Linked DNA regions of Macaca mulatta. The protein of the gene in region 2 purifies or fractionates together with the protein of the main gene of each other region. This does not show direct contact. Links are inferred from orthologs where the notes say so. Each region holds a gene or a part of one and is shown on either strand. Other genes may lie near its edges.

Evidence for each region.
Region 1: the proteins of MAVS (region 2) and NLRX1 purify together in Homo sapiens (affinity purification with western blotting; 4 studies listed by BioGRID and IntAct, with this or other methods). This does not show direct contact. The link is inferred for Macaca mulatta from reciprocal best matches to the Homo sapiens genes MAVS and NLRX1.
Region 3: the proteins of MAVS (region 2) and PLAAT4 purify together in Homo sapiens (affinity purification with western blotting; 4 studies listed by BioGRID). This does not show direct contact. The link is inferred for Macaca mulatta from reciprocal best matches to the Homo sapiens genes MAVS and PLAAT4.

The regions. Positions count from the first base shown.
Region 1 is NC_133419.1:119,868,195-119,872,119, reverse strand, and holds part of NLRX1 (NLR family member X1), read right to left. Parts: intron 2,440-3,925; coding exon 1,844-2,439; intron 1,283-1,843; coding exon 1,196-1,282; exon of another isoform or gene 1,148-1,195; intron 358-1,147; coding exon 106-357; intron 1-105.
Region 2 is NC_133415.1:80,208,384-80,212,308, forward strand, and holds part of MAVS (mitochondrial antiviral-signaling protein), read right to left. Parts: intron 2,197-3,925; coding exon 2,022-2,196; intron 1-2,021.
Region 3 is NC_133419.1:10,876,886-10,880,401, forward strand, and holds the end of PLAAT4 (phospholipase A and acyltransferase 4), read right to left. Parts: intron 2,701-3,516; coding exon 2,432-2,700; intron 1,155-2,431; coding exon 1,062-1,154; 3' UTR 837-1,061; downstream 1-836. UniProt on the Homo sapiens protein: Exhibits both phospholipase A1/2 and acyltransferase activities. Shows phospholipase A1 (PLA1) and A2 (PLA2), catalyzing the calcium-independent release of fatty acids from the sn-1 or sn-2 position of glycerophospholipids.

The DNA.
Region 1 (3,925 bases), on a different chromosome or scaffold from region 2:
TGACAGGCCCAGGCCCAGAAGCACTCCCTAGGATTGGAAGAGCACAGTCGAGAGATGGAAGTAGTCTGAAGGGCTGGGGGCAATGGGACCAGGGACAGGACTCACTGCAGCAGTTCCAGGGAAGGGTGCTCCCGGGCAGCTCTGGCCAGGGCCAGGGCCGCTGTGTCACCAGCACCATTGTAAGCCACGTTCAGCTCCTGCAGCTGCCGGTTGCGATCCAGCTGGGCAGCCAGCAGCTCCAGACCTTCGTCCCCAAGGCCGGTGTGCAGCAGGGACAGGTGTGTCACTGAGGTGTTTCCTGCCAGCCCCTCCATCAGCAGGGCAACACCTGCCGCCATCAGCGGGTTGTTGGACAGCCTACGGCCACGTGCAACCCAAGGTTATGAGGGCCCATTGAGAGGAGGGGGAGGCAAGGTTGCTGGTGGTGCTGGCAGCCTTGATGGGGCAGCGCGCTGTGCTGGGTGTCAGGACGTGGGCCAAAGAGGGCCCTGCTTGGGGCAAGAGGAGCCTGGACATAGAAATGCAGGCCCAGGAGAAAGGGTAGAGCAATAGGGGGTGTGGTGCCTGGCAGAGGAGGGAGAGTAGGGGAGCTGGCCTTTCCTTCCCTCTTCCCCCGACCCCCTTCTTATCTATTCCCTTCCTCCTCACCATTTCTGTTTCCCTTCTTCTGCCTTTTTCACCCCCTCCACAGCCTCTGCTTCTCCCTTCCCTCTGACTCCTGTATCCTTCTCCCTGTTCTTCCTTTTTCTCTCCTCATTTGCCTCCCCTTACACCAACCAGAAACTCGGAACCCAGGTGCTCGGGTTCCCCATGTATCAGTCAACACTTCAGGGGTGTCTACTGAGTGCCCAGCATTAGGGTCATCCTCAGGAAGCTGCAGGAAAAATCCTGGAAGGGGATCAGTGGCACTGTTACCAGGCAACTGGCCTAGGTATTATTCCACCCTCTCTCCCTGCCTCCCCCAGGCTGTTTTTAGCCACGTGAGAGGTTTCTTAGCACCCATTACAGGTGGCATCTTTCCCTGCTGCCCCGCTGCTTGCAGTAGACCTAGGGGAAGTGGAGGGGACCAGTCAGGGCCTAGACCCACCTCCATTTACTATCCCTTGGACGGGCCTGTGCCAAGTATGCCAGGAGGCAGGGAACTCACCCTTGACCTTAGCTGGCCACCAGGATGCCCCACTCCCAGGGCACTCACCGCAGTGTGGTAATTTGGCACTGGTCATGTAGCAGCAGGTCTCGGAGGTCCTTGCAGGCCTCAGGGCCCAGGCTGTTGAGTTGCAAGCTGGAGCAGAAGGTGGCCAGAGGGGAGGTGAGAGACCAGGGAGGGAATTCAGCAAGCAGTCTGTCCATCTACCATGACCTTTTTTCATCAGCCTGCCTCTGGGAATCCATACCTGCCTCCCCTTTTTTGAGAGACAGGGTCTCACTCTGTCACCCAGGTTGGAGCACAATGGCATGATCACAACTCACTGCAGCCTCAGACACCTGGGCTCAAGCAATCCTCCCATCTCAGCCTCCTGAGTAGCTGGGATGATAGCCACATGCCACCACACCTGACTAATTTTTAAATTCTTTTGTAGAGACAGGGTCTTGCTATGTTGCCCAGGATGGTCTCAAACTACTAGGCTCAAGTGATGCTTCTGCCTTGTCTTCCCAAAGCAGTGGGATTACAAGCAGGAGCCACCAGGGCTGGCTCCTCCCTTCTGCTGCTCCTGTCTCCTCCGCCCAAACTAGATTTCTTCATCTGGTCATTCATCAGTACCTCTGGTTTCCCTGGCACTTTCTCTTCCCACTGCTTCACCTCCAACCCTCTTCATGCCTGTGCATGAGGATAGGTCCTTACCCCAGTTTCCGGGCACGCAGTAAGACAGGCATGAGTGTGCGCAGCCCAGCAGGGTCTAGCTGGCAGGAGGCCAAATTCACCTCATCCAGGGCATGCCTTCCGCTGCCCAGCACAGATGCCACCACTGTGCACTTGACGGGTGTCATACGCACACCTGCCAAGTTGAGCTGACGAAGGGAGCTGAGCACCTCGGCGGAGAAGCGCTGGTTCTGGAACTCGTAGTGGAAGAAGAGGTGGTCAAGGAGCTCCGACGGGGGTAGCACCTGCCGGCCCAGCTTGCCCAGCTTCTTCTTGATGGCCTGGGCATTCTCCAGGGCATCCAGGTTCTTGATGGGGCAGCCAAGCTGAGCTAGCACAGCTCGGTTGTGGGCAGAGAGAAGCCCCCCCATGAATATGGGGAAGAGCTCGAAGACTTCATCCTCAGGAGGCTCATCTGGGTGGCGCCGGGGGCCCTCCACGCCTAGGATACTGGCGCCCATCTGGTCCAGAACATCATCATTGTAATAGTCCTCCTCTCGGAACATCTCCAGCACCATGGCCTGGGCCACCGCCTCCCGGCTTTTACCCACCATGCGCCCAAACACTCGTGGAACCACCTGAAAAAGAAGCAGGGGAGGGTCACTGTGGCCTTCCACATGCCTGTTCAGCCTTCAAGGCTCAGCTTAAGGTACACCCCTGTGACTGCTCCAGCCCTGTGGTCTCCCCGTGAACTTAGCATAATTTGTCTGATCATGCTACTCCCCTGCTGCGACACCTTCCACTGCCTATGTGGCAAACTCCAAACATTTAGCCTGGAATATGAAATGATTTTTAAAACTAGAGATGGGGTCTTGCTGTGTCACCTAAGCTGGTCTTGAACTCCTGGGCTCCCTAGCCTAGGCCCCCAAAGTGCTAGGATTATAGGCATAAGCCACTGCACCCGGCCCAAAACTTTTAATAATTTGGCCCTAATTTGACTTTCCCAGGGTCATATCTCAACACCTGTCTCATGTGCTGCAGACATTAGGAACTTCTTTCTCTTTCCCAAACACCCTGATACATTTTCAAACCCAGGAGGTGGTAAGAAGGAATTAGCATGTATTACACACTTAGTTTGGGACCAGGCTAGGTGTCACAAATACATCACCATCTTCAACATCATTGTTGTCTCAGCAGCTACGATTGATGCAGCTCCTACTGCTTTAAGGTCTTGTGTGATCTGGGCCCTGCCAACTACAATGCCTTCATCACAAGCCTCTTGGCCCCACTCACTATGCTCCTGCCTTTTTGGCTTTTTTCATCTTAACAGTGCCAAGGTCAGGCCGGGCGCGGTGGCTCAAGCCTGTAATCCCAGCACTTTGGGAGGCCGAGACGGGCGGATCATGAGGTCAGGAGATCAAGACCATCCTGGCTAACACGGTGAAACCCCATCTCTAATAAAAAATACAAAAAACTAGCCGGGCGTGGTGGCGGCGCCTGTAGTCCCAGCTACTCGGGAGGCTGAGGCAGGAGAATGGCGTAAACCCGGGAGGCGGAGCTTGCAGTGAGCCGAGATCGCGCCACTGCACTCCAGCCTGGGTGACAGAGTGAGACTCCGTCTCAACAAAAAAAACAAAAAAAACAAAAAAAAACAAAAAACAACAACAACAAAAAAACCAAACAAAAAAAAAACACAGTGCCAAGGTCTTTCCTCCTTCAAAGCCTCCATAGGCCCGGTGCAGTGGCTCATGCCTGTAATCCCAGCACTTAGGGAGGTCGAAGCAGGAGGATCACTTGAGCCCGGGAGTTCTAGACCAGCCTGGCCAATATAGCCAGACACTATCTCTATCGAAAAAAAATTTTTTTTTTTGAGACAGAGTTTCGCTCTGTCGCCCAGGCTGGAGTGCAGTGGCGCAATCTCTGCTCACTGCAAGCTCTGCCTCCTGGGTTCACGCCATTCTCCTAACTCAGCCTCCTGAGCAGCTGGGACTACAGGCGCCCGCCACCATGCCCAGCTAAGTTTTTGTATTTTTAGTGGAGACGGGGTTTCACCGTGTTAGCCAGGATGGTCTCGACCTCCTGACCTCGTGATCTACCCACCTCGGCCTCCCAAAGTGCTGGGAT
Region 2 (3,925 bases):
CAAGGGGGCAAGAGTGGGAGGGAGACAGCAGTTGGAGGACAAGGTAGCAAGGAAGGAGGGGGAGTGTGGAGGAGGCCTCGTAGGCCTCTAGCCACCCACACCATGTCAGCAGTCACTCTTCTCTGTCCCCAGGCATCCTGGGACCCAGTGGCTTTCTCCTCCCCATGACTGTCATTGCTCACTGACCCCTGCCCTGATGCTGCTGCCTCAGCCCCTCCCCTTTGCCACCACCCCTCATCAGGCCCTACCACAGCCATTGTATTGTATTCAGGGGGTCACTATTTTTTTCTCTTTTTTTTTTTTTTTTTGAGGCGGAGTCTCACTGTTGTCCAGGCTGGAGTACAATGACACAATCTCAGTTCACTGCAACCTCCACCTCCCCAGTTTAAGCAATTCTCCTGCCTCAGCCTCCCAAGTAGCTGGGATTACAGGCTTGCACCACCACGCCCAGCTAATTTTTTTGTATTTTTAGTAGAGATGGGGTTTCACCATATTGGCCAGGCTGGTCTCGAACTCCTGACCTTGTGATCTGCCTGCCTTGGCCTCCCAAAGTGCTGGGATTACAGGTGTGAGCCACTGCACCCAGCGAGGGGAAGAACTATTAATCTCCACACATGAAGAGTCACATTTAAAAAGAAGGAAGGAAAAACAGGAAGAGAGGAGGGGAGGAAGGGAGGGAGGGAGGGAGGAAAAGCGAGGAAGAGAAAAAGGAAAGAAAAGTAAGCATGAGAGCCAGACGCGGTGGCTCACACCTATGATCCCAGCACTCTGGGAGGCCGATCGCTTCAGCCCAGGAGTTCGAGACCAGCCTGGGCAACATAGTGAGACCTCATCTCTAAAAAAAATTTAAAAATTAGCCAGGTATAGTTGCCCATGCCTGTAGTCCCAGCTACTCTGGAGGCTGAGGTAGAAGGATCACTTGAGCCCAGGAGGTCAAGGCTGCGGTGAGCTATGATTATACCACTGCACTCCAGCCTGGGTGACAGAGCAAGACTCTGTCTCTAAAAGGGGGGAAAAAAAAAAGGAGAAAGAGAAAGAAAAGATAAACATGGATGTCCCACAGCTATAAATGTGACCAGGGTCTCGGGGGTTACCTCTAGTTTGAAATATAAATAGGGCTGGCTTGATTTTTCTTCCCAAGTCTTTTCTTTTTTTTTTTTTTTTTTGAGATGGAGTCTCGCTGTCGCCCAGGCTGGAGTGCAGTGGTGCGATCTTGGCTTACTGCAACCTCTGCCTCCCTGGTTCAAGCAATTCTCCTGCCTCAGCCTCCCGAGTAGCTGGGACAACACGCCCGGCTAATTTTTTGTATTTTTAGTAGAGACAGGGTTTCATCGTTTTAGCCAGGATGGTCTCCATCTCCTGACCTCATGACCTGCCTGCTTCAGCCTCCCAAAGTTCTGGATTACAGGCGTGACACCCCGCGCCCAGCCTCTTCCCATGTCTTGATCTCACTCAGGATCAAACTCAATCTCACCAGATCCCCTCCAAGCACTCAGAGTGGCAGGGACACTGAGAGGGACTTAAGGAATAACTGGGTAGTTGGTAGAGGGCGTTGAAGGCTCTCAAGGTAAACCAGGGGACGGGAAGAGAAGGTGGAGAGAGGGAGGATGAATGAGTAGGTGGGGGAGAAGAAATGAGGAAGGGTGGGAGGCGAACGCTACAGCCATGAAAGTTAGAGGAGACCCCATGTGCTGGGCATACAGGAAGTGCCTAGCCCAGCTCAGTACTCAACACGCATCGTCCTGCGGTATCACCCACTGCAGCCCCCCGCGGCAGATGCTGCCATGAACTTCATTTTACAGAGGAGAGGCCTGAGGCTCAGGGAAATTAAGGGACTTGGCCAAAAGGACACAGCTGGTAAGTGGCTCAGCCTGGATCTACACCCAGGTTTATCCATCGCTTCACAGTGATGAAAAAGAGGATGACAGAGAAAGGCAGGAGGTACAGGGAGAGGGGAAGGGAGAGCAGAGGCCAGGGAGCAGGCCAGGGGTCCAGGAGGAGGGCCAGGGCAGGACACTTACGAGGCTGGTAGCTCTGGTAGACACAGGCCACTTCGTCCGCGAGATCAGCTAGCTCACAGTCCCTCAGCGCCGCAATGAAGGACTCAACCCAGCCGGGCCGCCGCTGAAGGGTACTGAAGAGATGCCAGAGGGTGTCCCGGTTCCCTGAGAGTGTGCAGGTGGCCCGCAGTCGATCCTGGAAGACACAATGCCACTGTCCGGCTCAAGCCAGGCGGCCCCAGCCACTTACCCACCCAGAATGAAGCCACAGCAGGGGGGTGGGGCGCCAAGAAAGCCAGAAGAGCAAGGTGGCCACATGAAACTGAATCAGAGCCCAGGACAGGGCCAGGTATGGAGTGAGGAAGAGCAATTAGCAGCCACATCAATAAAGGCAGCTGCTGGAAACTGACAATTAAGTATGTCCTGGACTCTCCATTAAGGGCTTTGCATGTATCATCTTATTTAATGCCATTATTATCCCCACTATACTAATAAGGAAACTGAGGCTTAGCAGAAGCAAAGTACTATAGCAAAGATCCTACAACAGTGGGGCAGGAATCCAAACCCAGTTAATCTGATACAAAAGCCTTGGATTTATATGGCCCCCAGGGCAAAAAGAAAGGTTTGGATTAGGAGAGAAGGAAAAGGTAAATAGCAAAAGTATGATGAAAGGGGCAAAAGAAGGAAAGGGAGGGGGCCGACAATAAGAAACAAGGAAGCTGAGAGTGCTGGGGAGATTCTGGGCAGATGACAGTGGCTGCAGTTTTTTTTCTTTTTTCGAGACTGAGTCCCGCTCCGTCGCCCAGGCTGGAGTGCAGTGGCACGATCTCACCTTACTGCAACCTCTGCCTCCTGGGTTCAAGCTATTCTCCTGCCTCGGTCTCCCAAGTAGCTGGGATTATAGGTGCCCACCACCACACCCGGCTAATTTTTTTGTATTTTTAGTAGGGACGTGGTTTCCCCATGTTAGACAGGCTGGTCTCAAACTCCTGACCTCAGGTGATCCGCCCACCTTGGCCTCCCAAAGTGCTGGGATTACAGGCGTGAGCCACTGTGCCCAGCCCTAGAGTTTTTATGTCTATCTGAATTCCCACATTAAAAACAAGCAACCAGATAGCAGAAACAAAAACCCACAGAATCCTGCAGGAGCTAGATTTTTAGAAAAAGGAAAATAGCCAGGCGCGGTAGCTCACACCTGTAATCCCAGCACTTTGGAAGGCCAAGGATCACGAGGTCAGGAGTTCGAGACCAGCCTGACCAACATGGTGAAACCCCGTCTCTACTAAAAATACAAAAATTAGCTGGGCATGGTGGCACGTGCCTGTAATCCCAGCTACTCAGGAGGCTAAAGCAGGAGAATCGCTTGAACCCAGAAGGCAGAGGTTGCGGTAACCCGAGATGGCACCACTGCACTCCAGCCCAGAAGACAGAGCGAGACTCTATCTCAAAAAAAAAAAAAAAGGCCGGGCACGGTGGCTCAAGCCTGTAATCCCAGCACTTTGGGAGGCCGAGACGGGCGGATCACGAGGTCAGGAGATCGAGACCATCCTGGCTAACACGGTGAAACCCCGTCTCTACTAAAAAATACAAAAAAAAACTAGCCGGGCGAGGTGGCGGGCGCCTGTAGTCCCAGCTACTCGGGAGGCTGAGGCAGGAGAATGGCGTAAACCCGGGAGGCGGAGCTTACAGTGAGCTGAGATCCGGCCACTGCACTCCAGCCTGGGCCACAGAGCGAGACTCCGTCTCAAAAAAAAAACAAAAACAAAAACAGAAACAAAACAAAACAAAACAAAATATTGTACCACTGCACTCCAGCCTGAGTGACAAGAGCAAGACTCGGTCTCAAAAATAAAAATAAAGACCAGCCTGGCCAACATGGTGAAACTGTCTCTACTAAAAATACAAAACTAGCTGGGCGTGGTGGC
Region 3 (3,516 bases), on a different chromosome or scaffold from region 2:
GGAGTCTCGTTAATCATTATAGCCTGGTCTCCACTGTGTTGGTGAATTAAGGGATCAACCAGCTCGCTCACGCATGAAAAAGTACAACCCAGGGGAGGGTGATGTCCTCAGTCCTGAAGGCAGAGTGGTGGTGGCTGCAGTGACCACCATGGAAGCGGCCACTGAGTAGGGTCACTGGTGGTAGAGGCTGGAGTGAGGAAGCACAGAAACATGGGGAGCTGGGCACTTCCGGAGCCACACCCAGGGCATGCTGGAAGTAGTGGAGGGAGATTTAGAGGTAGCTAATTCTCAGCATTCCACACAGGACCAGCTTGAGCCATGGCAATTTGGGCTTGGAAAGAATATTACTCCATCTAGTAGTCACAGGTTGGTGAGAACTCAGACCTTTGAGCTAAAAAAAAAAAAAACAAAAAACTTTCTAAAAAGAGGGCCAGTTGAGGAAGGGAACGGGGAAGATGCTGGTAGATGCGTAGGTGTTGTGAGTGGATTTAAGCACCACATGAGACTATACCGGGAGGTAATTAAGTTTTTTTTTTTACCTCCCTGAGAGTAAAATTAATGACATGCAATTACGTCAATGTTATGTCTGTGTAGAATGATAAAGATAATTCACTGAACATCTGTTACGTACCAGACATGGGGCTGGGTGCCGTGTATGCATTATCTTAGGTGATCCTCCTGACATCACCTGACATGGAAGAAATGAGTTTCAGAGAATCAACAGCCTTCTCCAAAGTCACCCAGCTGGAAATTGCTGGAACTATCCAGTGGGTGTTCACTCAATGTTGCTTTCCTCCTTTGTGATTCAGAAGTCTATAAAAACATGGTAGAATTCCTTTCTGAAGGGACAGATGGCTGTTTATTGATCCTTCAATCTTATTTCAATTAGATCATACTTTCACCAGCGAGAGAAGGAAACAGAGGAAAGGATCTAGAGAGAGCCTGAGACAGAGCACGAGGGTCAGGCTGCTGGAGGTGTGGGGGAGGCCTGGGACCCCCACATCTCCACTGGGACCCCCACATCTGCTTCTAATACAGGATTTTGTGGCTGCTTCAGGCTGTCACTTTTGGTATTTCATAATCGCAAAAGAGCATCCAGCAACAGCCGCTCCAATCATCGCGAACGCACCGACTTCAGCCGCGGCATTTTCCACCTGCAAAGCAAGCAGCTTTTGTTGAGCGTTCGCAGCAAGCCAGGCTGGCACTTTCTCCCTCCCAAGGGCCTGGAACTCCTCCCCGTCTCCCCTCTCTCCTGCCTCCCCTACGGCCTGGCATCTCCTCTTTTCTCTCCCAGCTGACTGGCTCAGAATCCTCTCCCAGAGAAGCCGTTGGCTGTATCCCCAGGGACTCCATTTTCTGGGCTGTGACCACTTCTTGGTGTTGGGTTTATCTGGGCTTGTCCTTAGAATGTGCCCATGAGATCCTTTTGAGAGAGCTTCCAGGTGAGGACATTTGTTCGGATTTGCGGCGAGGAAGAAGGTTTGTGCCTCACTTCCTAGGGCCAGAGCTCCAGAGGCCAGACTGGGGACTGTTTTGCAGTCTGAGTCCTCCTTGAGCTACACCGTTGCACAGGGAGGGCTGTGGCAGAAGCTGAGGGGAGACTTAGGGAGGCCATGGCCATATGCGTGCCCTGGGGTCACTGTGTACTATTCCCAACTGCAGCCTGGAAACTTCCATCTCCAGCTCTACTTCAGCCTAAACTCCAACTCCATGCCTTATCTCCACCTGGGCCTCTAATGGGCACCTCAGACATCACATGCCACGCCAAACTCTCGATTTCCCTCCCCAAAGCCTCTCCTCCTGCCATCATCCCCATCTCATCAAGGACGCGCATCCATTCAGTCCCGCAGGCCAGGGGCCCTGAGCTGCTACACGGCAGGCATCACAGGCACAGACTCTAGAAAGGACAGCCGGGGTTTCAATCCTGGTTCTGCCACTTATTAGTTGTGTGTTTTGGGGCAACAAATGTGAAAGACTATGAAGAGGCAAGGGATGGAGGCTGCAGATCTTACACACAAATGTCCTTGAGCTCTTACACAGGTCCATGGACCCTGAGCGTCCCTTGCCTAAGTGCTCTTTGGGGGGTTGTGGGACCTGTCACGGTCCTGGGTTGGCCCAGATTCTCCTGATGACCCCTAGAACTTCAGGAGTCATTTTCAGGATAGGGTTTAGAGGGGAAGGATCCTCAGAGGTCCTCCATCCACCCACTCTGCACATGGAGAGGCCTGGAGGGGAAGGGACCTGTCCAAAGACCCTCTGTGGATTAGAAGCAGATCTGGCATTGGAGCTCAGAGGTCCTGACTCTCAGTCAGTGGGTGTCCAAGAGGCTGCGTTTGCATCATTCACGGTGATCGCCTGGTTGCATAGCCCAGTGAGTCCAGCCCCAAGCAGACCTCCCCAGGGGAGATGGATTATCCAGAGAGATCCTTACCTGTTGACAGTGGGACCTGCCATATCTCAGCTTGGTGACAAAGTGTTCACAGTTCCTGCTCACAATACTGTACTTCATCTTCTGACCAACCAACTCCTTGGCAGAACTGATGATCACCCCCACGGGCAGTGGTTCGAACCTACGGTCCAAGCTGTTGTTGACCCGATAGTTACAGCCTTCCAGCACATCTTTCAGGAGCTCCTGTTTCACCACTGCAATGCCGCCCGGGACTGAGAAGGCACTGGAGGAGCTAGCCGCGGGGTACCCATCTGCAATCAGAGGCATTCTCATTGGCAGGGGAAGGTGAAGTAGGGAGAGAAGGGCTTGAAATCTCCACTAGGGAACTACTGCTGTTTATCCTTTCACAAATGTGACTGGAGGATTCACAGATTTGGCTTTTTTTTTTTTTTTTGGACGGAGTCTTGCTCTGTCGCCCAGGCTGGAGTGCAGTGGCGCAGTCTCAGCTCACTGCAAGCTCCGCCTCCCGGGTTCACGCCATTCTCCTGCCTCAGCCTCCCGAGTAGTGGGACTACAGGCGCCGGCCACCACGCCCAGCTAATAGATTTTGCTCTCTCTTTTTTAATCAAATAAGGTGTGAATGTTTGTTCAAGTCAGTGAATGTCATGATTGCCAGTGGCTGCTACCATATTCCATGCTATGCATGTGCATCACTTCTGTGGCCAATCCCCTGTTATCAGTCATTTAGGCATTGGAAAAATTTTCATCATTATAAGCAATGATGGTAAAGCATATTTATTACCTGTTCAGCTTTGTACACTCGTGTTTTGGAAAAAGATTCACTTCGTTTAGTACCCACTGTTTCAGTTACCATGCTGTGCTGTTACACATACTTCCTAATTTAATTTCCTTTTTAACTTTCAAGGAAAATACTATCATCTTAATTTAAAAACCAGTATCGGGCTGAGAGAGATATCATGAGACTTTTCCGTGCTATGAGAAGTCCTAGAATCAGGATGTGAAACTGCTTCTCTTAAGCCCCAAAGGGCAGGTTCCTTCCACCGCACTGAGCTGATGTTGAGGGAATCCTTTGTAAAGTGTCTTCTGTCCTACAATCTGGCACAGTT